Linked DNA regions of Drosophila melanogaster. The protein of the gene in region 1 interacts with the protein of each later gene in a pairwise test. Each region holds a gene or a part of one and is shown in the gene's direction. Other genes may lie near its edges. The genes, in order: CG7366 and PlexB.

Region 1 (15,220 bases):
ACGAGTCTTAACCCATTGGCAATCCCCGGCGCAAAGCACTCCTCCGCTCGCCGTCGAAGGGTTAAAGTCATGAAGCCGCATCTGTGACGCAATTACAAAGGCTCGAAGTTTGCTTCTAATTTTGCTCTACTTGCCATCATAAAGTCATCCGTTTTTCAACTTACAGATGGGAGCCAAACAATAGTTTCCTTTACTTTTTATATCCTTAAAATTCGCGAAACCAATGAAAAAACAAAGTTAAGTTAAAATACGTTTTATTTTATCGGAATAGTGAAGATCTTGGTAACCATAAGAATTGTACTTTACATGCTTGAAAAACAGAGATATAAAATATATATATTACATGATAGTCTTATTGTGGTGCCCCTGCTTTCCTGGTCACCACTGTGGTGTGACCCATTTTCGAGTCTGCGATGGAGGGCAACTCAGCCAGAGCTTACCTGGTTATTGCGGCAAGTGCCAATATTTGCCTTTCGATGCGAGCGGCAAAGAATATAAGGGGGACGTATAGTGTTGTCGAAGGAGCGGTACTGGGGCCCAAAAGTCAAGTGGGGGAGTAGGAGCAAGTGGGAGTGCCTGCCAACTGACACAGTTTGTTTAGGCTTTAAAGCGGTCGGTCCTTGGATTTGGGTCACAGATTGCCTGGGACAAAGGAGGCAAAGGAATGGGATTGGGGGGGTTCTGTCGCCGGAAAGCGAAAGTTATGCACATATTGAGTTCAAGCTTTAAGGGGAATGTGCCTGTACCCAATTTCTTGCCGCTTTCAGCTTTTTGAGTGCAGTTTTAGTTCCGTTCCTGGCCCTTTTCCATTTTCGTGCATTTCTCTAACCGCATCTGCAGCAAAGAGCATGACAGATGTGCATGATATAGCGATGTGGCGGAGGAGAACGTAGGAGGAGTTTGTGGCACTGGATACGGACGCGGATGTGGTAAGGTTGAGGATGTGGATGAGGGGTGGGGAGGGGATGGGAGGAGCCGCCAAACCTCTAGCACTTAACTCGAATTTTTGGATGATTTTTTAAGCAACTTGTCGTTGGCTTGGAAATGCCATTACCGACATGCATCATGAATATGGATGATTCTGCTTGTTTTTTCTGGGCCCCATCATCATTTCCATTCTCCGGTGGCTTTGGTTTAACCAGATGGAGTACGAAGCATGATTGGCGGATGGAAAGAATTCAATATGAGCTTTTGGTTCGTCTTTAAAAAGTTAGCAACTAGTTTGCCGATTAAATTTGCATGTTAACCAGACCTGAAACGCTGAAATGTTTTCATAAATGATGATGAAGAGCTGCAGCTGCAAGCATAAAAACCCTGATTAACTTTCGTTGCCAGCAAATTTAAAATATTTTATCAAAACAATTGTTTTTGTTTTAAATGAAAAGTAAACGCAAGTCCATTAACTTACAATTACAAGCTAACAATCATTTAAAACAAACAAACAGGATGTTTAAAGTTCCATTAAGTCAATGCTCTGCAATAGAGTAAAACAAAATGCTAAAAATGTTTGCTAATATAATTGTAATAAAGTAAATATATATTTTTAAATTTTATTTAAAACACATTTCAATTTGGAACGATTTGCATTAACATTTTTAATAACCATCCTTCTGATTTGAAGAGCACTTATCAACAATTCAGTACAAGCACTAAAGAATTACATTTTTTGTAATATTCTTTGACAAACTTTCCCTTACCCATCAGCTCATATTTTATTAATCAATTCAACTTTGTAGCCAAAAATTATGAAAATTCCCCCAGATGCTGCGTTGAAAGCAGAAGTTGACAATGAGTGCCGAGGAAGGCCAAAAGTGTCAGAAGTTAAAACAACACTTTTATTGACTTTTACGTAATGCCTTCCTTAGGGTTTTCTCTTTTTTTTTCGGTTTGGGACTAGCACTCTGGATTATACAAATTAATGAAAAAAGTTGTGGGCGTTACCCTGTCCGAATAGGATATACATACATATAGAAAACGCAAAAATATTTACTTTTCATAAGGCGAATGAAGACAGGACTTGGAGCAGGAAGTCGGTCCTTGAGGTCGTATTAAAAAATTGCCAACAGCAGCCGGTGGGAACTGTTGTTTCCGCTGGCAAATGAGTTTACGAGCGTGTCGTCGTGTCCTGGCTGCTTTGTTTATGCTGCATATTAAATAAATTTGACATCCGCCACGACAAGTCGTGCGGCTCTGGTTTTCGTCTTCGGAGTGGTTGTGGCAACTTTGCTTGTTGACAATAAAATAACATTTTGCACTCACTTAGCCCAGCTGGGCTTTTACCCACTTCTCTGGCCAAACTTGCCACTTGCCACCATTCGAGAATTTTAATGAAAAAACTTTTCCCCACTGCCAAGCATATGAAAATCGCTCATATTTTTGGTCCGGAAATTGGCATGCAATAGAGTTGATTTCGGTGCGCAATTTATTGTATTTACATACATACATATATACGAGAACGAGTACGGAGGCGGCTTCATTAAAATGTACACTTGATCATTGCTTGAATTTCTTGTGCAAACTTTCCATGGAGGAGCGTGCAAGGATGTGGCATAACAATATTACGCATACGCAACGTGAGCTGAGCTGAACTAAGGCTGTTGCTCCATCGGAAGCCCAATGGTGGCTGATAGCTGATTGTCAGCCGCTCGTGGCATTGCAAATCAATCAATAAAACGCCAGGGCAAGTCAATCGTAAGGAATTTTACGCAACACACAATCAAACGCATATTGACTTGTGCACAGGACACTGTGCAAAGAGATTAAACCCAAGTTGGTTGGCTAGATAGTTTAAAACTGCAAGTAGTAACTTAATTATAAAAATTAACTCAATTTGTGAAGTGTTAAGTTATTTAAAAAAAATAGTTTTAATAATTAAATTAGTTCTGTTTCAATTGTTAAAACATTTACATTTATAAGTTTGTTACCAAAGTAATCGACTGTGTATCACATGAATTATTTCAGTTAAAGTTATAATTGAATTCCTTTGACATTTAATGTGATCAACTTATTTAAGTGGCAAGTGGGCGTCAATTTAAAACTGCTAATTGACCGTATTTAAAATTGCCCAGCTCGATTTTCCTGCAGTGTGCGAAATTGTGAAATTCTATGCGCAATATTGAAGCAGCTGCTCATACTTTAGCTAACATTCCATTCCGATGGAGAGTCAAACGGACCAACTGACTGACTGAGTCGGACGGACGGACAATCGATTATTTGCAGAGTGCGAAATAAAACGTCAAATGAAATAAAACAGGACGGGCTGAAATGCACGAAAAGTATATAGAAATGTATTTGCCATATACCCATGGCGGTATGTACGATATGGATGGCTATGCTTTGGCACTGGCTCCTGGCATCGGATTCCTTCGGTCGAACGGCAATTTAATTTCAATTTCTCCGTTGCCAGGCTGCACTCTCTGTGACTTTCTCCATCTCCGATTTCCGATTATTTATGGTGCAATAAAAAATATATGTATATATATACATGTACATATATATGCTACAAGCAGGAGAGGCAGCAACTTTGCATTAGCATAGCAACAATATTTACCGACTCTTTTGTCCTTGCCACAATTCTGTTGCGAAATTTCATTATGAACGGATGTCGCTTAAGTGCACATTGAATTCAATTAGAGCCCGACAACCCATGCAATTCTACGTATGTACATGCTCTCGCAGAATCTGTGTAGTTTCTGGATGTGCGGGCATATCTAAGGATTCAAACCTGCCAATTGAAAATTGAATTATAAAATATTTCGCATACACACTCGCACTCCGCAAACATGTCCGGTTAGCAGTCCTTCTCAGGAACAGGACACAGAAAACCGCAGTCAGTTGTTGGCTCTGTGAGAGTGTGTGCGGTTCGGATTGGAATGCGCAACATTAAGAAGTCAATCTCTCCGGATGCAAATAATGCTATTCCTGCTGGGAATATGGTACCCTACCTTTTACGGCTCAAGTTCGGCGGGCAAACTTATACAGGGCATCCTGTAGGGGACGCATTGTGTGGGGCACCGTATAAGAGGCACCATGTAAAGAGCACATTAGGGCCGCCTTGTAAGTGGCACCTTGATAGAAGCTTCTTAAGCTTTACGTGGCATATGAATAAATATTATAAAGGGCAACGTGGGTCTTAAAAGGCTCTTTATACCATACCTCTTCCACAGTTTAAATTACCTCAGCATAAAGTTATAATTATCTTTCACTTATCTTTGATACTAAATTATTTGACACTTAAATAAATAGATTTACTCGTTATTAGATTTCCTCGTGACATTATTTGCCCACTGCATTGTACCTAACCGGTTTAATTGCACCGCAGTCATCCATCAAGAAAATACTTAAGAGATATATATCCGCAAGTACGACCCAGTCGCTTCTGAGATTCCATTCCCCTGGGCCATCTTTGTTTAATGTGTCTACATAATAGCGTTCACCGGCTTCCATCTGGCTGCATGTTGCTAGATTCTTTCTTTCCGCCTCTAAATTTGGTCTGGGTCTGGCCAAGATGCTGTGCGAGCGTTTCCTGCATCCTGTCGTTTCCTGTGCCCCGCCAGACCAGCGATCCACCCCCCAAAACACCAGCATCCAGCGGCTCCTGCTTTTGCCTCTGCCAGTGCTGCGGTGGCCATTATTTCCTGTATTTAATTGCACTACTCTCGGCTGCGGTTTTCTGCTACATTTGTTGCCGCCTGCAGCCGACCAAGGACTATAATGTACTTTGGCTAACCATCCGGGCAGTGCAGTCCTTTCGGCTCCCAGGACCTCGCCCATTTACTTCTTCTTTCCTTTTTGAGCTGATTGTCGTTTGCCGGCTTCTTCTTTGTGACGTATTTGTTGGTCACTTTGCAGAGGCAGTCATCAAATGATTTATACTTTAATAAGCGTGCTCGAGACATACAGAGAAATTAGATGTGGCCACAAGAGCCGCCTCCACTCGACTTCCACCCAACACCTCTTCACCACCGTCGTCCCGATGACATTTTTCTTTGACGCTCGCAAGAGGAATTTGCGCAATTTATGAGAGGCGGCAGGCGGGCTGAAGAAATACCAAAGCAGCATTCGAGAAATTAATAAGGAAGTTGGAAACGATGGCAGTTGGCTCCTCGCAGGTATTTCCGGTATTTGTGCCATTAAGGCAAACGAAAGGCAGCGAAAGGTGGCAAAAATGCACGGAAACTCAGACCCCGCGATTATTAAGGGGTTAAAAGGTTGAGTTGAGTTGAAACCATAGCGAGTGGATTTTAAAATCATGTATTTAAAAATTTGTTATTGAGGCGTAGGATTCACAGTCCGTTGAATTACTTCTTCAGCAGCAGAGGAGCGGCAGCGGTGGCCACATAGGGAGAGCTGTAGGCCAGGGGCGAGGTGTAGGCGGCGGCGTAGGGAGCGATGGGAGCGGCATAGGCAGCGGCCACTGGAGCGGTATAGGCGGCAGCAACGGGAGCGGTGTAGGCGGCGGTGTAGGCAGCTGGGAAGGCTGCGCTGTGAGCCACCGAGTGGGCGCTGTAGCTGGAGGCATAGGGAGCCACGTACGCGGCACTGCCCACCACAGCCGGAGCGGTGTAGGCCAGAGGAGCGGCGGCCAGAGGAGCCACAAGTCCAGGCTTGGCAGCAGCCACAGCCACAACAGCGAAGAAGCAGACGGCGATCTATAGACAGAAGTACTCCTTAATTAATAGATCCCATCAATCCTTAAGATAATCAATGAACTTACGAATTTCATGTTGATTGTTGATTGGTGCTTTGTTTGGTAGAAGTGACTACTGGGAGCTGTGAGCTAGGTTTGATGTTGAATTAACCCAGCTGGCCAGCTTATATACAACCCACTTGGTCATCCGGCGAAGGCCGCGCTTACACATGCAGCTGTCGTCGTCGACATGGCAGCACAACGTCTTTGACTCCGATCCAACTTACTGGCCAGTTGAAGACGTTGTTGCTCCATACGCACACTTGTCACGTGCGGACCGAATTCGTAAAGGGCATTGCCGGGTTTCCTAGACCCGAACGACCTTGAGCGAAATCGGTTTCAGTTACTCTAATTAATTTAAATCACAATTCTTTCAGCATGCTTCATAATGAGTAATTAATTACTATCATTTGGTATCCGAAAATATCAATGTAGCAGTATATTTTCTATATATTTGTAACATTTTCGATCAACTGTTCGTTTTCCGCCTATCACAAAATTCTAACCCACAAAAAATCTAAAAAATATAAAATTAAAATTTCAAAAACCTACAAAAAAGCATCCAAGAATGACTCAGTTAAGCGAGTTCGCCCTGGACAGCCACTTTGCCTCCGAGCTGCGCAGCCTGCAGTTGTATTCCAAGGAGCACCCTGTCAGCCAAGATGACCACGACATAAGTCAGCGTTGGATGCAGCACTTCCAAAACGCCAAGGGTTTGGATAAATTCGCACGAAACTGCATGCTGCTGATGATGTGCGAACAGTTGCGAGATCTTGGCCACTTGAGCAAACCCTTCACCGAACTGAAGAACTTGAGTCGCCCCATGGACGATTTGCTGAACGAGTACCATGGGACGACTACTGTGGAGGAGGGGCAAATGTCGCCGGTTGAAGATATTGAGGACTCGGACACCAATGTCTCCAACTATGGCAGTGGCAGTAGTTCTTTCTCCCCTGGGGTGCCCTATCCCATTTCCACGCCCGAGTTCGAGAGCATTAAGCGGTCTAACCAGGATCTGCTTAAGGAAATCGACTCGCTGCACTGTCGCACGGTGGAAGCGGAAAAGCTATACCTTAGCAGGAGCCAAATTCTGGAGAAGCAGATTGCCGAGAAGTCGGCGTTGGCCAAAACGAAACTTCCCCAGGAGGGTATCTATCAATCCTGCCGTGCGGCCTGCCAGCTTCTGAAAAAATGGCCAGGCGAGTCAGTGCGACTCAATTTTCTGACCACCTGCCTGGAGCCCTTTCTGCGGAACGATATGATCACCAGCTTGCAGATCTCCGAGTTGGATCTCAGTTTCGAGAATACTCTGAATGCCATGGTGAAACGGGCCTGCTCGCGAAGGGACGACAATGTCCGCATGCTATATGACCAAATTTTGTGCCAGGAAAAGAACGACCTGAAGGAGAAGGAGGACAAGGTGCGACGATTACAGGAATCCACAAGGTTGGAGCGCCAAAGATTGCGCGCTCTAGCCGAGGACTTGAAACGTCGAGAGAATTTCATTTGGAGGCACCAGGCCGTCGCCACACTGGCAGTTGCAGGACTTTCCTCCGATGACCAACGCAGTCCCAGTTCCACTAACTTAAAGTGTGACTCATGTCTGAAAGAAATGTCCATTAGAAAAGGACCTCTGGATCCCATAGGCAGGAGCAGCAAAGGTGAAAAAACCAATGATGTCGTGGATCTGGAGAAGTTATCTGACGCACTGAGCGATATGTCCATAGACAAATGGTAATCCTCTAGCGACAGCACACTTTTATAAATATATATATTTTTATTTTCCTGTTGGCATCAATAAATCGTTGAGTTGCTTTAAAAACTTCCACGCCTCCCCCCTCGCACTTTTCACCGCCTGCGCCCCTGTCAACGGCAAAACTTTTAATGTAGTTTTAATTTTCTCGTAATCACGAAGGGAAGTTGGCTGTAGTCCTGGAAAGTCGGCAATCATCTACGCACTTACACCGCGAGGAAAGTTTGGTTTTAATCACATCAGTGCCTAATGTTATAATTAAGGTTTTTAATTTAAATCAATTTCCCAAGGCTATACAAACTGTATTACAATTTTGTAAAAATAATATAACATATACATATAATTTCTTTAATTTTCCTCAGTGTAGTGACCATTTCTTCATCCGGCGAGGATGGGAAAAGAAAACGCAGCCAAAAACAACAAAGTAGGAAGCGCAGCAACAGCTTTGTTCGTAATTAGTTTTTAAGCGCTTCGAAAGAGTATGTGGTGGTGGATATACATACATATATATCCTAAGTGGGCCCAAATAGAGTGTGTGCGTGTGCGTGGGTGTGTTTTGGCCATGGTTATGACAACATGCAGTTAAGCACTTCTTAACGACGGCTGACTGCCGATAATGGCATTTTGCTTGTGCAATAAGTGCAATTGATTTTCTTGGCAGCTAACATAAGTTTTTCAGAAATAAATTATTTTTGATGCCACATTATTATTCAGTATTAAGAGGATTTTTAATTTTCTTAATTCCCAAAGGAAAACTTTTAAAAGCGAAACATCTCAAGCGGCCTTAAAAAAGCGTATAAATTTCGAAAATTTGATAAAGCCAACATTTCTTGCCATGCATACGCCAAAGAACATACATAATAGTTTTTCCTCGCCGCATTCCCAAAAAACCATTCATTTTCGAAGAAAGCCAGGCAAAAGTCACAGAAAAAGTTGCTAGCAGTCGGGAAAAAGTTGTCAAAGAAAATGCAGTGCCTCTGCAATCCCCAAAACTTTCAGCCAGTCCATCTTTCGCAACTGCATCCTGACAATAGCTCAAAATATGTAGTGCCAACTGTCGTAGAAGCCGGAACGGAGGGGACAAAATGTAAGTGCGCGAAAAAGTTTCCGCATGGCTTTAATGATGCGTGCAGACAAGCCAAAGTTTGGTTGGCCAAAAGGGAGAAAAATTTTGAAGAAATGACGGAAGCCGAGCGCTTACATTAGTGGCATAAAATTAATGACAAATTTCGTGGGCTTATGCGGATGCACTGTTCCGTGGCGGACGATTTCCTGCCAGCGAGAGCGAACTTCGCAAACAATTATGGGCAGAACTGAGGGAATATTCGTATAAAACTAAGGCCACGAGGAATATAGCATCTGTGACCGCCGGTAAAAGCTGCATTTTTGCGGCACTAAAGCGATTCCAGCAGCAGAACCACTATTACGGCGGAATGTGCATGGCCCACTGGAGGTGCCGGAGTGCAATGCTGTTGCTGCTGTTGCCGGTGGTGTTTATCACTTGCAGCCAACAACTCCGACGACGCTTAATGGCTTCCTGCCCGGACAGTTTGCATCTGGGCGGGGCATAACACTTCGGGGACTTCCATTCTCGCAATACGACCCATCTGCGGCCCAACCATTCCTTAATAAGTTACATCTGTACATTTGCGTTGATTGCGTTGTCCTTATTTTCTCGTATATATTTACACTTGGTTAGTCTCTCGGGGCAGCTCTTTGCCGGCGCAGTGATGCCGCTTGGCGAATGTTTCACCCACAATCAACGGAAAGACCAAGCTAGCCTCGGCATACACCTTAACAGGGGTGGCATCCTTCCTGATCTTGCCCCACGATATAGCCTCATCCGGTCGAGCGCCGCTATCGCTGCCGTCAAACTCCGAGGCAGTATTAATGAACACTGAGTAATCCGCTCCATTGCGCATCAGATTGGCATTACAAATGTGATGCTTGATAACGCCGCCGCCCACGATGATCATCCCGCTGTTGACCGCCTTGACAGCCATGGTGTTGAGCCTCCGCAGATCGGACAGAATGTCCACCACGAGTCCAGGTTGTCGAAAGGAGTGAAAGTACATCATGTCGCCCAGACTGCCATCCGTCAAGGCGGGACAAAAGACTGGTATTTGATTCTTGGCAGCCCAATAGTAAATGGAACTAGGATCGCCAATCCGTTCGCCCAACCGATGAATAATCTTCGACGGCGACCAGATAGTTCCCTGGGATTTTTGCTCCTCCAGCATCTCGTCCAGCAGCGGCATCACCCAGTCCTCGAACTTACAGTAATTATCGTTCGGCACCAGAAGGTTGCCAATTCTGTTGATTCCACGCTCGCGGAGATCCCTGCCACTCAGCTCAAATGAACCCATGAACGTGGGAGCCAAGCACTTGATGAAGTCCTCCTCGACGCCGCCAGCTGTGGTCACAATGCAGTCGATCATACGGTGCTCGGCCAGAAAGCGAATGGTCTCTCGCAGTCCGGACGAAACCAAGTTGGATGTGTAGCCCAAAAATACGGTGCACTTGCTTCTTCGACGGATGAAGTCGTCTGTTTCATGGCTGTCTATTTGGTCCGCTTCCAATGGCTGGTCCCTGCAATCCAGCTGCCAGTGTTAGGGGTTTGTAACATATCGTAGTTATGTATTTAAGTTACTAACTTACCATTCTGTTAATTTCCCGAATGGCCAGGCCAAGATTCGTGGCCTGAAACCCGGTGTTCACATAGGATTCGAAGAGCTTACTGTAGTCTAAGCCTTCGTTGAAATCGTAGCCACTAACTTGGGGCGTGTTTTCCGCCAGAGCCTCGCTGCGCTTCAGCACAGCATCCTTGGCCACCGATGGCTCCGTCGACATAATCAGAAATTGTTGAAATTCAAAATAAACAGCTCAAGGGGAGCCCAATCGTAATGCATTAATCAACATGTGCTGGTTAAGGCAGCCCTGGTTTCCGATAGAGATGTGGTTTGCAAAGTAGCTAACAAATATTTCTTTAAATTTATCTGCAAAGTTTTACGTAGTTATGGAACGAAGTAAGAAAAACCAGCTATCAAAGACTTGCGTTTAATTTAAATAAATATATTTAATATATATATTTAAAAAAAAAAATTATGACGATGATTTTCAAATATATTACGACACCGGTTGCATGTCGAAAATTTAGGTTTTAAAATTTTCTTCGTTTCGAAGTATCCAAACTTGGCTTGAATCCCGCTGAATCCGAAGTCCGCTTACCAGCACTACGCAACAACTATCGAGCAGACTGTTATCGGGTGCAACCATCGATTAATTACACATATCGCTGGGCAGAAACAAGGAAAGGATAGAAAGCACTCGAAGTGATTTTTTACATCAGTTCTATTGTTAACGGTAGGCCAAAGATTCAGTGAAACAATTGCCCTTAAACCACTGACATTTCAAACAATGCAACCTGTCCCTCAAGCAGCAAAAGCCCCCCAGAGAGCCAGAAACTTTCGAGCACAGCCAAACGCGGAAGACGAAACGCCAGCGAGACGAGGACGCCAAGATGATTAAACTATTCACGCTTAAGCAGCAGAAGAAAGACGGCGAGCAAAAGGGCAGTCAGCAGAAGAAAGCGTCCGCCGCCCAGCTGCGCATACAGAAAGGTAGTCTCCAATCCAGCACCTGGTATGATCAACTCTCGCTTATTACTTATCCATCTTGGGCTGTTTTCCTCCCCCCAGATATTAACGAACTGAACCTGCCAAACACTTGCGCCACAGACTTTCCCGATCCCAATGACTTGCTCAACTTCAAGCTTATCATCTCGCCCGACGAGGGCTTCTACAGAGACGGGCGCTTCGTGTTCAATTTCCGCGTCGGATCCAACTATCCGCACGAGCCGCCCAAGGTGAAGTGCGCCACCCAGGTGTACCATCCCAATATTGACCTGGATGGCAACGTCTGCCTCAACATTCTGCGCGAGGACTGGAATCCAGTGCTGAACATCAACTCCATCGTCTATGGCTTGCAGTTTCTATTCTTGGTTTGTATTTCGTGATTTGTGTTATTTTAGAGGCTATACGCTTTGTTCCATAAGTCTTGATCAACAGCCACAGTTTTCAAGTTACAATTGATTTTTTATGTCTTGTTTTGTGAACAATTGATTTCTAAGTGTGCTTAATTGAACGCCCACTGAAACAATTCAATATAAATGTTTGTTTATACCACTTAACGATCATTATTTCTATTTTTGTTATTACCCAAGCCAACAGTATTACTAATCCAAATTAACTGCTTCCAGGAACCCAATCCCGAGGATCCGCTCAACAAGGAGGCGGCCGACGTCCTGCAGACCAACCGCCGTCAGTTCGAGAACAATGTAAAGAAGGCGATGCGTGGTGGCTGTGTGGGCGAGACCTACTTCGAGTGCTGTCTGCTCAAGTGATATAGGGAATCGCAAGGTCTCTTACTTTAAGCCTGTCCATACACCTCCCCCTACACCCGCTAACTGAAGAAGATGAAGCAAAACACAGACGAACATCGGCGACAACAAATTATTGTAATAAACGAAAACAAAATCCACTGCGTGCAAAGAAGAAGCCGAGTCAAGTCACCAATTTCTAGTTTTTAATACAATTCATTTAGCAATTTCGCCCACCCGTCTCTTAATCATAATCGGCATACCCAATGTGGCAATCATCCAAATCCCTCACAGATGAATGCTGTGCCTGGCCATCTGCATATTTCGCCACAGGCAAAGATCAGACACAGCGGACAGTCTTCCTGCCTGGATTCGCAGATCGTATAGTCTGCTGATGAGACCCACTTTTATGTCGTCGGTGACCAAAACTTTCAGGAGCTGTTGCACCAGGCCGTTGGGCAGCAAGCGCAGGACGGGAGCGACCCTCTCACCACCGCATTCCACCAGCAGCGAAATGAACTGATAAACAAAAACGGCCTTGGGCGACAGTTCATCTCCACTGACAAACTGCAGGAACACTGCGAAAATGTGCTGCACGCTCGTCTGCAGTGGTTCTCTTAGAGTAAGCGGCGTAGTCCGCAGTTCAGATGTGGAAGTGGAGCCCAATAATGCTGCCAGGCCAGCTCCGGTCGTAGTGTCCGTAAAGTCGCTTGAGTTGTCGCTGCCATCGCCAATCACCTTGCGCACTTTGGCTGCATTGGCCGCCAGTTCCTCGTCATCGTGAGATCTCGATCGCTTCTTCATGGCCGTCAAAGCGGAAGTGCCATTTCCTTTGCGGCTCTCCAGGCAGGAAATAATACAGTAAACACAGAGGCGGGCCAGTACCAGGGATTGGGGCTCATTAATGTCCTCACTAGAAAAAAAAAAGATTGCCAAATTGTGAGTACGAGTTCTATCATAGCAGTTTCAATTTTTACATCCTTTCTTGCTAAATCGATTCGATTTGTAGATAATAAATAAATGAAATAATATACAGAAGAAAATATTGGTATTTACCCTTGTCGTCGCAGTATCAGTGGAGCCACCACGTACTGGAGCAACGCCTCAGTGGTCTTCTCAATGTCGAGATGCATTACGGCAAACACAACGTCCATGGTTCGCGACATATCCCTTGTGTACTTGCAGGCCAGCAGTTGCTCCACCAACTGCGTGGACAGCCACGCCGCGCCACCGGCTAGCAGAAGCGACTCCAACGACTGAGCGGCGCGAACGGGCAGGTGACCAGCATCGACTACTGTTCGCCACACCTCCCGAAACTGCTCGACTAGCGGGGAATGTGAAATGAGGCGGGACTTGGTACTTGGGGCAGGATGCACATCGTGTTGCATTTTTCTGATAATCTGATAGGAGAGAGCTAGTCGCTCCTTGGCATTTTCCTGGCTGGAAAGCTCTTCGCTGGTCAACGGAGCCAGGAACTGCTGAATCATGTTTAGTGGTTTCAGAAGTTCCGTTTCCTTCACCGAATACATGTAGGCGCATAGAAAACTAGTGGCGCAAACGGAAAAACTGAAAAGTCTTCTCTTAATATTGTCCAGAATACTTTTAACGTCCGCCGAGGATAGCGTTTCCTGCTCCCAAGCTATTAGCACATGATGAAGCACTCCGGGCAGATTAAGGCAAGTCTCCTGCCAACTTAAGTTGTTTGGCTTAAGTTGTGATGCCTCTGGTTTACTGAAGCTAAGCAAAAGCTCGTCGACAATACTGTCATCACAGAGGGCAAGAATTTGACGCGGATTCTTAAGCTTATTCCTTTCCACCATGCACTCACGCACCCATTTTTCAAAAAATGAGTCACCACGCTCAGATAAGACCACCTGAAGTAAAATAGAATTCATTAAAATTGCAGCGTAATAACAGGCGGGTTTACGAACATCGGATCCATAGGTCTGCACAATGCTTGTCAACATTAGGAAGGAAACATCAAACAGAGTGGACCGGATGACGCATAGCTTGCCCAGGTCGCCCGGCACCGGCTTGGAGTTCTCATTGCACTGGATCAGACGCGATACGAATGTCTTGAGGCGTCCCTCGACGGTAGCCACTGAAAGAATCAACTCGAAGCTGTTGCCCACCGGCACTTGGCAAAGGACATTAACCATGTCCTGGACCTTGTTGGTGCACAGCGTTTTTAGTACTCCGGAAAGCGGAACCTCTGCGCGCTTGATGAAGTTTATATTGGAGGGTGTCTGTTGGCCATTGTCGCATTTTTTGAGTAATTGAGAGGCGGCTTCCCTGAAAGAGTTCGTTTTAAATTATATAATTAAGATGGGTGTACAAAATGCATGATTTCTCGACTAACCTTTGACTGGCGAACTTCTTTACGTGGACATCATTGACTAGTTGTTGCTTGGTCCAGTCATTCAAAAGGAACTCGATCATATTGCATGAGCACTTAGTATCCATGAAGTCTAGCAGCAGATTGTCCTCGATGAGCAATTCCAAAGCCTCCACCAACTCGGGTATGTAATCGGCCGGTGGTGGTTGCTCCCCGGGAATCCGTTGCAGGGCGTGCAATTGCTTAATGATGTGCGGCATTTTAAAGAACATAAAGGCACCCCACATAGTGTCAGGACTTGTATCCGCAACATTGCTCAGCGTGAGGAATCCAGCACGGATGATTTCGTAGAAGAGCCGTGTATTGGAGTATTTCTTTAATCGTTGCAGCATCTGCAACTCAGCCACGTAGTAGCTGGTGTCCTTGCACGGATTGAGAAGCACTTCCACCGCCAGTAAGGGTTGCACGCAGCACGAGATCTTCTCGAGTGTTGACGGCGGATTAAGTGGTTGCATTTCAAGATGCTTGGCTTCTATAAAGGCCAACTGCTGCAATTGCTGCTCCACTTGTGGTGCATTTAGCGTAAAGTTTGAGTTCGTCAACGATCCCTTGATGGTAGCGTACTTATCCCGAATCCGTCCACATATTTCGAGCTCTTCGTGACAGCCCACGTACAGCATAGACAGCAGGAACTGCTGCTGGCTAAGCCGATCTATCACCACGCAGGTCTGGTCCAGCATGTATGATTGCTCAGCACTAATCTCACCATACAGTTCATAGTGCTGCACAGTTCTGGCGAAGATTTGAAGCAGCCAGTACACCAAGTGGACGACGGAACTCGGTAAAACCGCTTCCTCAGATTTTATTCTGGAAATAGAAATGAACAATTATTTTTACTCCTGCTTTTTAACGACTTATAAAACTAAAAGGACTTACCGGCAGGTAACGCCATCCACGATGCTGGCCAGGAATTCAAGGAGCGCTGTAATGCAATAAACGCGCTCTAATTTGTCATATTTGGCAATGCACCGAATAACAGCAGCGTGAGAAACGAGATGGGCGCAC
Region 2 (16,667 bases), on another chromosome or scaffold:
CTTAGTAAATGGAGTTCGAGCATCTGACAGTTTGTTAACATATTCACCTGATGATCTTGCTGAAAATCTTAATTTGGATGATGGCTGGAATTGTGACGATGACGTGGACGTGGCAGACCTACCAATTGTGTTACGTGCTATGGTAAATATTGGTAACGGAAATGCATCCGCCTCGACTATTGGAGGTTCTGTTTTGGCTAGGCAACGGTTTAGAGGTCGTCTTCAAACTAAAGGTATAAATTCAAGTACGATTATGCTTTGCAACATTCCAGAAAGCAATCGTACCTTTGGAATTAGCGAACTTAATCAGCGTATTACAGAACTGAAAATGGAGCCAGGTACTGATGCTGAAATTAAAATTCCTAAGCTCCCAAACACGACCATAGGAGGATATACGGAAGACCCTTTACAAAACCAAACAAGTTTTCGTAATACAGTATCGAATAAGCAAGGAACTGTTTCCGGATCGATACAAGGACAGTTTCGTCGCGATAGTCAAAATTCCACTGCAAGCACTTATTACGGTAGCATGCAAAGTCGTCGTAGCAGTCAATCATCCCAGGTGTCTTCTATACCTACCATGCGACCGAACCCCTCGTGTAACTCGACTGCATCCTTTTATGATCCCATTTCACCAGGGTGCTCACGGCGCTCTAGCCAAATGTCAAATGGTGCTAACTGCAATTCATTTACTTCCACATCAGGACTACCCGTATTAAATAAGGAATCGAACAAAAGCTTAAATGCATGTATTAATAAACCTAATATCGGGGTTCAGGGTGTTGGAATTTACAATAGCAGTCTACCCCCACCTCCATCGTCCCACTTAATTGCAACAAACTTAAAGCGCTTACAGCGGAAAGATTCAGAATATCACAATTTCACTAGCGGGCGATTTTCTGTTCCTAGTTATATGCATTCTTTACACATAAAAAACAACAAACCAGTCGGAGAAAACGAATTTGATAAAGCAATAGCGAGTAATGCACGACGTCAAACTGATCCAGTGCCAAACATAAACTTAGATCCATTAACAAATATTTCTCGGTTCAGTACAACACCGCATAGCTTTGATATTAATGTCGGAAAGACTAATAATATAGCATCGTCAATTAATAAGGACAATTTAAGAAAGGATCTGTTCACTGTTTCAATTAAGGCTGACATGGCAATGACTAGTGACCAACATCCAAATGAAAGAATAAATTTGGACGAAGTTGAAGAACTTATACTTCCCGATGAAATGCTTCAGTACTTAAACTTGGTAAAAGACGACACAAATCATTTGGAAAAAGAACATCAAGCTGTACCTGTGGGGTCAAATGTATCCGAAACTATAGCTTCAAACCACTACCGAGAACAATCAAATATATATTACACCAATAAACAAATTTTAACACCGCCTTCTAACGTTGATATACAACCAAATACAACAAAGTTTACAGTACAAGACAAATTTGCTATGACGGCGGTCGGGGGTTCATTCAGTCAAAGAGAATTAAGTACCCTAGCTGTACCAAATGAACATGGGCATGCCAAATGCGAAAGCTTCCATCACCAGTCTCAAAAATATATGAACACTGACATTGGCTCCAAGCAGCAATCAGCATTACCGTCAGCTCATCAACGGCAAACAGAAAAATCAAATTATAATCAAATCATAGACTCATCGATGACTAGCTTGCCAGAACTTAATGTAGATTCAATATATCCACGAAACGAAACAGAAAATATATTTAAAGTACACGGAGATCATGATAATGAAATCCAATGCGGCATTATAAGTCAATCTCAAATGTCACCTTCCACTAATTTGAATAATGATGGTCAGTTTTCTACCGTAAATATGCAACCAATAACAACATCCAAATTATTTCCCCCTGAACCACAAAAAATAGTTTGTGACACCCAAGCGAGTAATACTTCGGTTATGCATTTAGATACATATCAGCGTACTCTGGAATATGTACAAAGTTGTCAAAACTGGATGGAGACGAACAACACATCTACCAATCAAATACAAAGCCTCCCGGGAATGCCGGTAAACAATACATTGTTTCCCGATGTTAGCAGCTCTACACATCCATATCATGGGACAAATATGGTGATCAACGATATGACTACATCCCTTACTTCCTTACTCGAGGAAAATAGATACCTTCAAATGATGCAGTAAAAAATGTTATCTAGCTAACACTGACAAGAAATCAGTCATAATAAACTATTTTATTCTATTTAGATTGTATTTACTTTATAGGCAATATACCAATTACAAAACAAAATTAAATTAAAATCCTGATTCAACACTGTAATATTTTTTACAAATGTCCTTTAATCAAGTTCATTTATTATTTTACAAAAACGAGAATTTTATTTTAAATATTCTAAATACATGTAACAATATAATGTCTTCCGAGCTATTTTAAACATTAAAATGCAATGATTATGCTCTTACTAAATAATTATTTTTATTTATTTTAATTTATTTTCCCCTTAATACCGGCGTAAGCCCTAATAAGCCTTAATACCGGCGTAAGCCGGTATTACAATAATATTAATTATGACGCCACTAACAAAAAAGGCGTTGCATACTCGTGGGCTTATATTTATATGGCATAATTAAAATTATAAAATAATGTTTTATATATTCGGTAAGGGGGCATACATATTTGTTATTTCAAATTCTAAAAGCATTCCAATCCCTTACCGAAAAAAAGACACTACAATAACGAGATGCGTAACGTCATAAGATTTTTTTGCGCACGATTTTTTCGGTGAGGCTCTAGATGTGGCTCCAGGCTCTAACGAATTTTTGTTCAAAAGCGAGAGAGCGGATAGCTCTACAACAAACAGCTCTTTTCTACGCATACAGTGGCAGCCGAAAACTTTATGTGTGCACACGTATGCTCATGCATTGTATTGCCCTTCATCTTAGAAGTTCTTAATCTTTCAATCTATATTATGTTTGATCAATTGGCACCATGTAAAAAATTCTTGATTTGCATTGCCTTAATGTTATTATTATTTAAATATAGCTTGAAAGTAGTAGTTGCCGAATCTATGTACATAGTATCACAAAATAAATTTTAAAAATGACTTTATATTAGAATATAGGCCATTAGAGTATTCTGCTTGCGACATGTGAATTACAATTGCAATGGCCTCCCCGTGTTGTCCCGTGGGTACCGATTATTACATATATTACATATAATTAATTATTAACATAAATATAAATATGTAAACGGTAGCTAATTCAAGAGGCGATTTTAGCAAACGAATATAAAAAAACTTTAAAATTATAATAGTCACGGCGTGAATTTTTAATTATTATTTTATTTCATCATATACGATACAAAAATGGCGAATATCCATTTCTTGTTTCTTTAAACAAAATTGATTTCGGCCCGAAAATCGTCTTCTAGCACAACTACACACACATACATATATCTATTGTTTTTACTCACACAAGCAAGCAAATTCTATTTTTAGATTTCTTATGCTCTCAGCGTAAGCGAGGGGACAACAGAGCGCAATTTTGAAACCAATGTATGGCCGTTACGCGTCTTGTTATTCCAGTGTCTTTGACCGAAACCTACAAAGACAGAACGCTATAGCTTATTTCCTCGACTAACAGATATCTCTTACTTAGACAGTAGGAGTAAGAGGTCGAAATTTCGGATTATGGATTAATAAAATATATGTATTTTAAATTACAATTTTATAGCAGTTCGATCTGTTTCAATTACCTTAAGAAACCCCTGAATATTTTAAATTTTAATTTCATTTTTTGAAATATTTTTTAAGGAATTTAGAAAAAGAATAAAAGGTTTAAAAACTCAAGTAGACGTTTCATTTTGTATTTAAAAAGCACACACTTAGCTAATATTTTAATTGATTTTTTAATTATAATTGGTTTTTGGTCAGAGTGTTGTTTAGTTTTTAAATAAACTTCTTTCGATTTAATTTTGATGTATGTATGTTGCCCCTTGCATTCTTCATAATGGCTGCCTTTAGTAAATATATTGGTCATTGTACTATAATAAATAAATATAATTATGTGTAATATAAAAATAACACATTTTTCGTCATGATTCTTACATTTTATTTTCACTTATATATGTTATGTTGTCTTATATTTTTTATTAAAAGTTTATTTTGTAGTGTGCTCGATTTTTAATCCAAAACTGTGTTACATAATGAGACGTATTTTTAATTACAATGAAGAGGATCAAAAAATTAAAAGATTACCATTCCTTTTTCGGAGTAGACAATGTCACAAGAGCTCGTGCTTAGCATTTGTTGGGGTCAATTGCTTCCAATTTTTAAAACCAACGAATATTTAAATATTTTTTTGTAATCAGAAATTTATCAATAGATTCTACATGACCTTGCTTAATTATCACATAAAGGAAAATATTTGCGCGGTTTAAGAGCTGGAAGTTCCTAAGTTTACCATTAACCTTTTTATTGATATTATTTTGTTTCGCTTTTTAATACTGCATTCTTAGCTTCACGGCAGCAGCGTTGCCAATGTAGATTTTTTCCTACTAGAATAAAAAAATACAGAATAAGCAATCATTTGCGTCATTGTGAGTTGTGAGTGCAAACCAACAAAACTGGAAAGGTGGAAACTAATTTATAAAATCAAAAACGTTTTCCCGATGACAAGCGATTTGTTCTTAGCTGGGAATAACACTATTATAATAATAATATTATACTTATATAATTCCTAATAATTTGCTCCAAGCATACATTTTTTTTTTTGTAAAAAGAAAATTAAAATTAATAAAAAGTAAGTAAGTAAGAGCTGCGTATCATTGTGCCGTTTGATATTCCAAATTCCTAATAAATTATTCTCTTATTGAGTTGAAAAATATCCATGTTTGTCATTATATGTGTTGTAAAGATTATAGACAGTTTAAGTGTACACATTAACCTCTTTGGTCAATCTAATCTAACTTTTTGGTAAGAGATGGTTTATCTCTTTAGCATCTCTTATCGCAGCATTTTCTGCGGCAGGTCTGGTTATGTTTCGAGTGTTCACGTCGGCTGTTAACGGATTTTTGATACATTGTTGTTATGTGTAAACAGTTCTATTTATGTACTTGTACATGTTGCACAGCGCAAATATTGTCGATTAACCATGGTTTCCCGTGCTAAGTTTCGATGTGATGCCAACCAAGTATAAACTAAAGATCCTGTGTTATACCAAAACGAATTCGGCGTTGTCAAGATCGATGTTCCCGATTGCTCTTCAGTTCACAAAGAATTTTCACAGTAAATAATGTGATAGCAGCATAAGTTTCATTAACTATCGCTTTGAAATATAGTCGGTTAACCGAAGTACACCCTTGCAAAGTGACTACACAAATGGATTGATGAAGCATTTTTATAGGGGTCAATATCCAATGCTAAGTGTTGAAAAAAATCCACAAATAAAACTTCAATATCTGTAGTGGTTCCCTAATTTAACTTATATATTCGGAGAATAAATGAAATTGTATATACATATGTACGTATGACAGGATCAGAAATCTCTCTGAGAATATATAAAAATCGAATCTTCAATTCAGTCAAAATTTAAAACCCACCGATATAATCTATTTAGTGATACTTATTTAACTAAGTGTTAATAATTTACAGGTCTTAATGACGGTTGGTCTTAATTTACAGTTGTAGAGAAATTCAATAAATTATTAATAAGACAATTGATTAGCAAAATAGCCATTCGTTGGACAAATTTTCCAAAAATTGTTGAATAATAATAATCAAATTTTTTAAATTTATATAATTTTAATAGTAAAAAAGGTACATAAGTAAAATTAGTATAAGTATATACATAAATAGTCCCAAACACTACGTGGCGTTGAAGCCTCCATGCCATGAGAAACCCTTAATGAAATAATTTAACATTAAACATGTTATGATTTTAAAATAATTTTATAAAATTTTAGCCATCGTGCCACATAAATCAATGTTGTTCAAAACTTTGTGTAGAGATAGGTGGGTCTGTAACACTCGAATCAAAAACAATATTAAGATAAAAATAGCGCGCACGGCAAGTGTTGCATGGAAGAAGATGAGATCAATTTAGATTCTTTGGAGATTGCTCTTTTTAACGCGACTACCATTTCATTGATATTATTTTACAAAAATGTTCCTGGAACATTTTAGACTCCATCGGTGGTGTCTTCTTTCTTTTTTCTTTTAACATTAGCCAATTGATTGGATGTGGAATCAGAACTGAAAACATTTAAACGATATCTACATAAATACTTCCGAGGTTTTTAATGGTAAGCTTCCCTTTAATGTGCTCCTTGTGAATACAGCATTACAATGCCCTCTAGCTCGATAGTTCAATTTGTATGCGATAGGCTGATACAGCCGATACTAATAATCTGCTCTAGGACTGATAGTGTACACACAACGTTTGAGCGTTGCCTAAGAAGTTTTTTTTAAATAAATATTTGTTTACATTGACTAATCGATTTTTTGTGTTAAACAACCTTATAAAAAATGCGCTAAACCTAAAATAGCCAAATGGATCATTTTAATTTAAAAATATTTATGCACCTACAGTGAATCAGCGGCATATAAAATTAATTCGCATTAAATTCAATCGATATTAAAAAGTTTATATATTAAGGAGAGAGAATGTAGAGCTAAATAATAATAAAAATGACATATGGGGAATTGATGCCCAAACTCAACTACAAACTGATCATACACAAAACCACAAATAAATATGTTGCGAAAGGAATTGTATTGTGCAAACATTATACATGTTTTACATGTACTGTGTATTATTATCATACTCGGTTCTCAGCATTATTGCGTTAACTGCATTGAAGAACTGCCGGCTCAGGCGTTATCTCCCTTAAATGACATAGTCGCCCAGTTTAACTTGCCATCAATACCAGTTCAATCAACAGCTTCCAGCTATGGCAATCGATCAATTGGAAACAATATAGAAAGTGTTAGAGACTCTCAATCTAAAAATTATTTTACTCACATGAGCTTCGACTTTATGCACAATGTTTTGTTTGCGGGTGCTACAAATAAAATACTTAAACTTAACGAAAACCTTCGAGTGCTGGCCGAGGCTGTTACTGGGCCGTTACATGATTCCCCGCAATGTCACGCTGGAGGCTGTCCGGAAGATATTGAGACATCGCTTGTCAATAACTTCAACAAAATTCTAGTAGTAAGCTACGCTCACGATGGTATTCTCATAGCGTGTGGAAGCATTCGACAAGGTAAAATAGCAAACACATATCAAAATAAAAATAAAATACTTAAGTCGGCGACTTCGTATGGGACCGAAACTCCTGACATATCGTATTGGTTTATAGAAGTTATTGGTCATTTTTTGTAGTCATCGTAGAACAATGTCGCAGTGTTTTTGAGCTCCACATAAAAAAGCGGCGAATATAAGTAATTATTCAAAAGTGCGGAAGGAATATGATGATAAACAAAACAGGATTTTAAAATGTTATAAATTAAAAAATCTATAGTTGAACTCTTGAAACAATTTGGGTAGTATTAACGTTAAAGTATTAAAATAAAACAAGATAATATGCTATAGTCAAGATCTCCGATACTCAGCTAGTGTGAATGCGAACTCGAAATCGAAATTTCATCATTTTTCTGGGATATCGATAGATATTGGGGAATAAAAGAAGAAACAATTTGAAAAATGTTCAATAGTGTGGGCGTGACCGGTTTGGCGGCTTTAGGGAGTTAGAGTAGGCGTGGCAAAAAGTTTAAGCAACTAATAAAATTAAAAAAAATATTCTAAAATGTTTGCAAAAATATGGGCGGGCAGTTTTGGGCATAATATTACTTCAATCATGCGATGCGAATCGTCTTTAAAATACTTTTCAACGAATCAGTTAACAATTTTTACTGTTCCTGAAATCAATTCTGATCGAATAAACGAATTTACATATTTGGTAAGTTTTGGCCAATTTCGTAGCAATATGATGAAATTGCGCTCTTTTTTAGGAATATCAAATTGGAATATAACAAAAAAAAAACTGAAACTAAACAACTGAATCTAATGTGCATTTTAAATAATAAAAATGGATCATTTTATACATCATATTAAAATTAAAAAAATTTCATAAAAATAATACGTAGTAGAAAATAAAAATTTTTAACATAAATAAAAATATGAAAACTGTTTATTGCAAGTCATATGTATCTTGAGGCACGAAGTGCGGACACAAGCACTCAACAATCATTGCCTTATTAATTTTTCACACGTCGAAAGCTGAATACTCTAATGAATATAATAATATTATAAAGTCATTTTTGAAATTTTTTTTTGTGATAATATGTACATAGGTTTGACTCTTTCTAATCTATTTTCAAATAATAATAACGTTAAGGCAATGCAAAACAAGAATTTTTCGCATGGTGCCAATTGATCAAAAATAATATAGATTTAAAGTCTATGAACTTCTAAGGTGAAGGGCATATATTGTCAAATTTACAATGCATGAGCACACGTGTGCACACACACAGATGTCTGGTATCACTGTATGCGTAGAAAAGAGCTGTTCGTTGTAGCGCTCTCCGCTCTCTCGCTCTCGAACAAAAATTCGAGAGAGCCTGGAGCAACCTCTAGAGCCACGGCGAGAAAATCGTGGGCTAAGGACAGGCAGACGGACATGAGTAGATCGACTCGGTTAGTGATCAAGATCAGGATTTTTGATATTTTATAGGCTCGGTGACGTTCCGTTCTACATGTAGTATACATTTTTACTTTACAAGTTACGGGTATATCAAGTCCAATGGATACTATGACTTAGGTGTTATATTTTGTCCTTAAAATAGGTTTTAAAAAATTCCGCGATAGTAATAAAATTATCTTTATTTTCAGGAGCCTGCGAAATTTACAGCCTGCCACGTTTTCCGGCAACGCCCCAGTTTTTTGCAGTTCCATTGGCTGCTAACGATGAAAACGCGTCTACATATGCATTTGTAGGTCCGGCGAGATATGCGTGGAAAGAAGAGGATATTTTATATGTGGGGACAACATTTACGAATGTTGGTGATTATCGTCATGACGTGCCAGCCATTTCGTCCCGCCGACTTGATGATTTAAACTATGCTGAATTTTCAATACAGCAGTCAATTATAAATATCGATGTAAAATATCGGGATCATTTTCTAGTCGATTATATTTACGGCTTTAATTCTTCTGAATATGCGTACTTCATAATTGTTCAAAAAAAATCACATTTAGCTGATGAGGCCGGTTATGTAACACGCTTGGCACGCATTTGCATTACAGATCCTAATTACGACAGCTATACTGAAATAACTGTTCAATGCACTGCAACTGAAAACAATGTTGACTACAATATTGTAAGGGATGCGAAAGTAACTCCAGCCAGCCACAAATTGGCGCAAAAAATGGGCATAAAAAAAGACGATCACGTTTTAGTAACGGTTTTTTCGCCCTCAAGAGAAATAAGTAATCAGCCAGAAAGTAAGTCTGCTATGTGTATATATAGCATTAAAGATATTGAAGACATGTTCATTGAAAATATCCATCTGTGTTTTAACGGAACCACAAAAGATCGAAATTTGGGCTATATATCCGGCACCATTAATGATGGCAGATGTCCAATAGTTGGTTCGCTCGGTAACATTTACAACTTTTGCTCTGTGGGACTTAAAATAAGCGGAGTATCCCCAATCACTGCACACGCACTTTTTCATTTTGATAATGTTTCAGTTACGTCAGTCACAGCAACTTCAACGACTGATCAGCAGCATTCTCTTGCATTTCTTGGAACGAACATGGGAGTAATCAAAAAAGTTTTATTATCTGGCCAAAGTCCGGGCGAGTACGAGGAAATAGTTGTGGATGCTGGAAATCGTATACTACCAAATACAATGATGTCGCCAAAAAAAGATTTTCTTTACGTACTTTCTCAACGAAAAATAACTAAGCTTAGAATCGAACACTGTTCTGTGTACACGAATTGTTCCGCTTGCTTAGAGTCTCGGGATCCTTTTTGTGGATGGTGTTCCTTGGAGAAGCGGTGCACTGTACGATCAACATGCCAGCGAGATACATCTGCGTCGAGATGGCTTTCATTAGGTAGTGGACAGCAATGCATAGAATTTGAATCTATTATCCCAGAGAAAATACCAATTTCTGAATTATCGCACCTGCATTTAATAATTCGAACTTTGCCCGAACCTTTTAATGCAAAATACCGATGTGTTTTTGGAAATTCCACCCCCATTGATGCCGAAATTCTGGAAAACGGACTCGGATGTGCTACTCCCCCATTAGATGAAAGACCATTAATACCAACAAACACTGATCATATTTTGGTGCCATTGTCAGTAAGAAGTTCGGAGACAAATAAGGATTTTGTATCAAGGAATTTTGCTTTTTTTGACTGCTCACATCATGGAAATTGCCAGGAGTGTCTACAAAGTTCCTGGGGTTGCAACTGGTGTATTTTTGATAATAAGTGCGTTCACAAGTCTTTGCAATGCCGTAACATAGAAAATGCTGTAAGTACTGTTGGTCACTGCCCCCACTTAAAAAAAAATCGTCCGGAAATACTTCTACCCGTAAGAGTGCCAATAGAAATTCGGCTAGAGATTGAAAATTTACCAAAACCCAAGAGCGCACATGCTGGTTTTTTATGTACAATACATATTGAAGCTGCTCAGATGCTACTCCCTGCTCACGTTGAGTCAAATAAAATTGTAGTTTGCGAAAAAACACCATATTTCTACGAGATTAATACACATGAATATCAGGCGAAGGTTGTAGTTACATGGAACTTCCAGCATTATGTGGACACCGCAATTGTTACATTATACAAGTGTGACGTGTTGGGCTCCCATCGGGAACACCCTGATTGCAGTTTGTGCGTAACTCGAGATCCAAAATATAAATGTGCTTGGTGCAGCAACTCATGTGTATATAATGAAACTTGCATAGCTGATAAAAATTCTATCAGCTCAGGATCTAAATCCGCTATAGAAAACGAGTGCCCATTACCACGGATTGATATTATTAAACCATTATCTGGGCCAGTCGAGGGTGGAACTCTTATTACAATTGAAGGAAGTAATTTGGGCATAAGGGAGGAAGATGTTCGTGGCAAAATATTTATTGGTTCTGTGCCTTGTGAACTAGAAAATTATCAAATATCGGTAAAAATTGAATGCCGGACTGGAGCATCACTGTACGAAATGTCTGCACCCATAAAAGTTGCAAATGATGCAGGGTTTACTGAATCAAGTGTTCAGTTTCATTTTAAGAATGTGCTGTTAACAGGTTTATATCCCACAATTGGCCCTAGGTCGGGAGGGACACAATTGTCTTTAATTGGGAAGTTTTTGAACATTGGCTCAACTATGCGAGCATTTTTAGATGAGTATGAGTGTCATATAGATGTTACACAAGCTTCATCATCCCAAGTTAGTTGTACTACATCAGAAGCGACCCAACCTGAACCAATACGGTCCCTTCATCTAGTTATTGATGGTGCGAACAGAACGCTAGAATGCCAGATCTCAACCCCAAGCATTACCAATACAAATCCGACTCGAAGTAATTTTGGTTCTTATCAACTCCGTTCGCTACCACGGCAACCCTGCTCTATTTTTAACTATACACAGGACCCGCGTATAATGCAAATTAAGCCATTGCGTAGTTTTAAAAGTGGTGGTCGAGTCCTCACCGTTCATGGAATATATCTTAATTCCATCCAAAAACCTGAACTAGAAGTGTTTTATGACAATGAAAGAGTAAATAAAACATCTTGTGTGGTGATCAACTCTAATCAAATGGAATGTCCATCTCCTCCTGTAAATTACAAATTTGAGACTTTTAAAAAGACGAACAGAAAGATGGATACTGAATTGCACTTACAAAATTCTTCGTTTCAAACTGAAACCAGGTATAAAAATGAATATGATAGAAAAAAGCGGCGAGCCGACTTTGGAGACACTTTTCGCTTATACACAAATGCAGGATCTTCAGCCAACTATTTTGTTAACAATAATATGGACGTCACCACATTCGTTAAGGTTCATGAAACTCAATTAAACTTACAACTAAGTTTTGTAATGGACAATGTACAACTAGTTCGAAACTTGAATAAATATTTTCATGACATAAGGAGCACTATTGTCTATTTAGCAGACCCAAAATATTTGCCATTTCCCAACGACGGCGTTAAACTCTACAAGGGTGACAGCTTGGTCATAGAAGGCGAGCTATTAAACTTGGCAGCTGATGAGTACGATGTAAATGTAACTATTGGAACTTCCCAATGCAATATTACCAGCCTGGCACTTAACCAACTTTTATGCATTCCGCCGGAGCAACAACCACTTCCAACTGATGAAAATGGTGTGGATCAATCAACTGATTTACCTCTTGTTGTCGTTAAAGTAGGTCGAAATCTTCGTTTTGTAATAGGATATCTTAAGTATGATTTAAATAAACCCTATGTTTTCTCACATGCCTTGTTAGTCGGCATATTAACGGTAGCACTTCTGGTCGTTGTTTTTGTAATTGTACTTATAATATTCAGAAGGAAATCAACACAAGCAGAACGCGAGTATAAACGTATTCAGATACAGATGATTACATTAGAAAGCAACGTACGTTCTGAGTGTAAACAGGCATTCGCTGAGCTCCAAACGGACATGACCGACCTAACAGCAGATTTGGAGAGCACAGGCATACCAACTTTAGATCACGTCAACTATATTATGAAGGTGTTTTTCCCTGGTGTATCAGATCATCCTATTTTAAATTCTCCAAAATTTCGTGAAGGTAGCCCACAGACTAACTATGACGCAGCTATGGTACAATTTGAACAACTGATTGGCAATAAATATTTTTTATTAATGTTCATAGAAACATTAGAAGCTCAACGTTCATCATTTTCTATTAGAGACCGAGTTAACGTTGCCTCATTAATAATGGTTGTTTTAATGAACAAGATGGAATATGCCACGGAAATTTTGAAGTCCCTTTTATTACGTTTGATAGATAAATCACTTGCCAGCAAACATCCTCAGCTGATGCTAAGGCGTACTGAAAGCGTTGTTGAAAAAATGTTGACCAACTACCTAGCAATTTGTATGTACGATTACCTGAAAGAGTACGCCGGATCAAATTTATTTTTGCTCTTCAAAGCAATAAAGCATCAAATTGAAAAGGGTTTAGTGGACGCAATAACCAACGATGCCCGTTACTCCCTTTCAGAAGAACGTCTTCTGCATGAACAAGTTACCCATTCTGTTGTAATATTGCATATTTTACAAGATGATCTTGATGAAAAAGTCCAATGTCGCGTTAACGATTGGGATACCATTTCTCAAGTTAAGCTTAAAATCCTCGACGCAATTTTTAAAAACACTCCTTTCTCTATGAGGCCATCTGTAAACGAAGTAGACTTAGAATGGAGGCACGGCCGAGGAGGTCATCTTACATTACAAGATGAAGACTTGACAACCAAAACCGTTAACGGATGGAAGCGCCTTAACACATTAGCTCATTATGGAGTCAAAGAATCTGCAGTAATGTCACTAATTGCACGTCAAAATGATAATTATCATATACCATACAGTAAAAACCAAAATTCGGCACCATACCACAATTGTAAGTACTAAGCCCAATATCTAAAAATTTTTTAATTAATTGTTTTGCCTTTTTGCAGTTTATTTTATAAACAATTCGCAAAGTCATATTATAATTAATAATGATATCGAATCAGGTTTGCAGCAGCCCCGGGTTTACCATCTTGTTAAGCCCAATATACCTGATCATTATATGAACATTAAAAATTCCGTGTTATCCGGAGGATCACCAGCATTTCAATCGCATGTCGTTAATAATTGTAATGACAGGGTGAACAAAACAATACCAGAAGTTTACCTTACACGTCTTCTGGCCACAAAAGGAACTATACAAAAATTTGTTGATGATTTTTTCTCAATTATTTTAACTGTTAATGAGGAGTTGCCACCTGCCGTTAAATGGCTCTTTGACTTACTTGATGAAGCTGCGCGACGCCATGATATTGCTGATACTGATATTGTGCACGCTTGGAAGTCAAATTGTTTGCCCCTTCGATTCTGGGTTAATTTTATAAAAAATCCGGATTTTATATTTGATGTAAATAAAACATACAGCGTTGATTCCTGTTTAAGTGTCATTGCACAAACATTTATGGACGCTTGTTCAACATCAGAGCACAGACTTGGAAAAGATTCGCCGTCGAATAAGTTGCTGTTTGCTAAGGTGAGTCTAAAATAAACATTATCTTTTTCTATTTTGTTTTAGTATATGCTTAGTATTTATGCGTTTTGGTAATAACAACTAGATTCTCCATATTCTAAACGTTTTCGATAGCACTTAATACTGACGTTTCCCATTTTTTTGGTTTACCCATTATGTTTGTTTGGAAAAGTAAACAACAAAGCGAATATTAATTCTAGCAATACCCTAATGTCGAAAGCGACATTGTACGCATTAAGTCTTAAAAACAAACCTTTTTTTTATTTTCGAAGATGTAGCTCTTTATAAGTTCTATGAATGAATGCAGGGTTGAGTTTCTACGTTTTCAATGTATGCCAAATCGAAATTGTTCTTAGGGTAAAAAAAGTCGAAGCACCTAATTCAACGAAAGGTTATCAAAGATTTTAATGCAACAAATTTTAAAATGCGATAAAATTTTAGTCCTTCAGATAGGGTTTTGCTATACTTTTAATATGTTTGTTTTAAATTATTGTACCCATTACTCGTAGAGCAATGAAGCGTTTCCGATCATGTAAAATATAAATATTCTTGATCAGCATCAAAATCAGCGAGTCGATCTGGCCAAAGACACTAGAATAACAAGATGCGTAACGGCCATACATTGGTTTGGCACTATGCAGCCACTTTTTTGGTGACGGCCAAAATTGCTCTCTTTCCGCTCGCTCACGCTGAGAACATAAGAAATCTAAAAATAGAATTTGCTTGCTTGTGTGAGTAAAAACAAGAGACGAGAACGCGTATATGTGTGCGTGTTGTGCTAGAAGACGATTTTCGGGCCGAAATCAATTCTGATCAAAGAAATGAATTTACATTGTACATATTAGGGTAGTTTTTTGCCAATTTCTAGCAATATGATGAAATAAAATAATTTTTAAAAACTCGCGCCCTTCTTATTATAATTTTAAAATTTTAATTTTAATTTTAAAATTTTTTAATTTTAAAGCTTTTTAAATTCGTTTGTTAAAATCGCCGCTCGAATTAGCTACCATTTACATATTTATATTTATGTTGATAATTATTTATGTGTAATATGTGTAATAGTCGGTACCGAGGGAACACCACGGGGAGGCCATTACAATTGTAATGGGGTCTTATATTTACGTATATGACCTTCGAGTCGACTTGAAATATTTTAATGTTTAACATTAAAACATTTCCACATTCCCCAATTAAGTTATTTTTCTAACTATTGTTTTTTATTATATATTGCTCGATTTTTCAGTCGTCAGTTATTTAAATAACATACTGAAAAACAATGTGCATTTTAAATAATAAAAATGGATCATTATCATATATAAATCATATTAAGTCAAATGACTTAATAAGTATGCTAAATAATTAAAGGAAGTAAAATATAAATTATTATAACTACTTATAACAAAAGGAATACATTACATCGAGAAATAAATATTTCATAAAAATAATACGAAGTAGAAAATAAAAATTTGTAAAATAAATAAAAATATGAAAACTGTTTATTGCAAAAGTCACATCAAAGACACTAGAATTATTCTAGTGTCTTTGTTTTGGTCATATCTTGAGGCACGAAGTGCGGACGGACACAAGCAACAATCATTGCCTTATTCATTTTTCACACCCCGCAAGATGAATACTCTAATGACAAATATTCTTATATAAAGTCATTTTTGAAATTTATTTTTGTGATATTATGTACATAGATTTGGCTATTTCTAATCTATTTTCAAATAATAATAACGTTAAGGCAATGCAAAACAAGAATTTTTCGCATGGTGCCAATTGATCAAAAATAATATAGATTTAAAGTCTAAGAACTTCTACGGTGAAGGGCATATTTTGTCAAATTTACAATGCATGAGCATACGTGTGCGCACATAAAGTTGTCTGCTATCACTGTATGCGTAGAAAAGAGCGGTTCGCTGTAGCGCTCTTCGCTCTCTCGCTCTCTAACAAAAATTCGAGAGAGCCTGGAGCCACCTCTAGAGCCACGGCCAAAAAATTGTGTGCCAAAAAATCGTATGGCGTTACGCATCTTGTTATTCTAGTGTCTTTGATCTGGCCATGTCCGTCCGTATGAAAATATAGAACGTTGACATTAAGCATGGAAGATCCAATACCAAGACGGCCTCTTCAACGCTTAAAAATTTAGTTCGCCCTCGCTTTACTGGAGTAACGGATAAAGGGAACACCTGGTAAACCTTCTGTTTTCTTCTTTTCTTGTAAGTAAGGAGTCTATCAAATTAATTAATCACACAAAAGACCTATTATCGAGGTCTAATGAGAATAAAACAAATTAAAAACAATTTATACAATTAGACTTCAAATTCTTTTCCCTTTCATTTTTTTAAATGTGAATACATATATGCATATATAT

What was found.
Region 2: the proteins of CG7366 (region 1) and PlexB interact in a two-hybrid assay, tested with the Drosophila melanogaster proteins (one large-scale study listed by BioGRID).

The regions. Positions count from the first base shown.
Region 1 is NT_037436.4:8,193,364-8,208,583, reverse strand, and holds CG7366 (uncharacterized protein), read left to right. Parts: upstream 1-6,166; 5' UTR 6,167-6,257; coding exon 6,258-7,427; 3' UTR 7,428-7,506; downstream 7,507-15,220. Other genes in the region: CG13679 (uncharacterized protein), read right to left, coding at 5,301-5,651, 5,717-5,725; Dhps (deoxyhypusine synthase), read right to left, coding at 9,128-10,042, 10,101-10,292; NEDD8-conjugating enzyme UbcE2M, read left to right, coding at 10,963-11,062, 11,141-11,442, 11,701-11,844; MED24 (mediator complex subunit 24), read right to left, coding at 12,109-12,733, 12,877-13,694, 13,752-14,112, 14,180-15,022, 15,092-15,220.
Region 2 is NC_004353.4:33,503-50,169, reverse strand, and holds the start of PlexB (plexin B), read left to right. Parts: upstream 1-6,391; 5' UTR 6,392-6,745; coding exon 6,746-7,256; exon of another isoform or gene 7,257-7,396; intron 7,397-8,884; coding exon 8,885-13,654; intron 13,655-13,712; coding exon 13,713-14,296; intron 14,297-16,667. Other genes in the region: ci (cubitus interruptus), read left to right, coding at 1-2,176.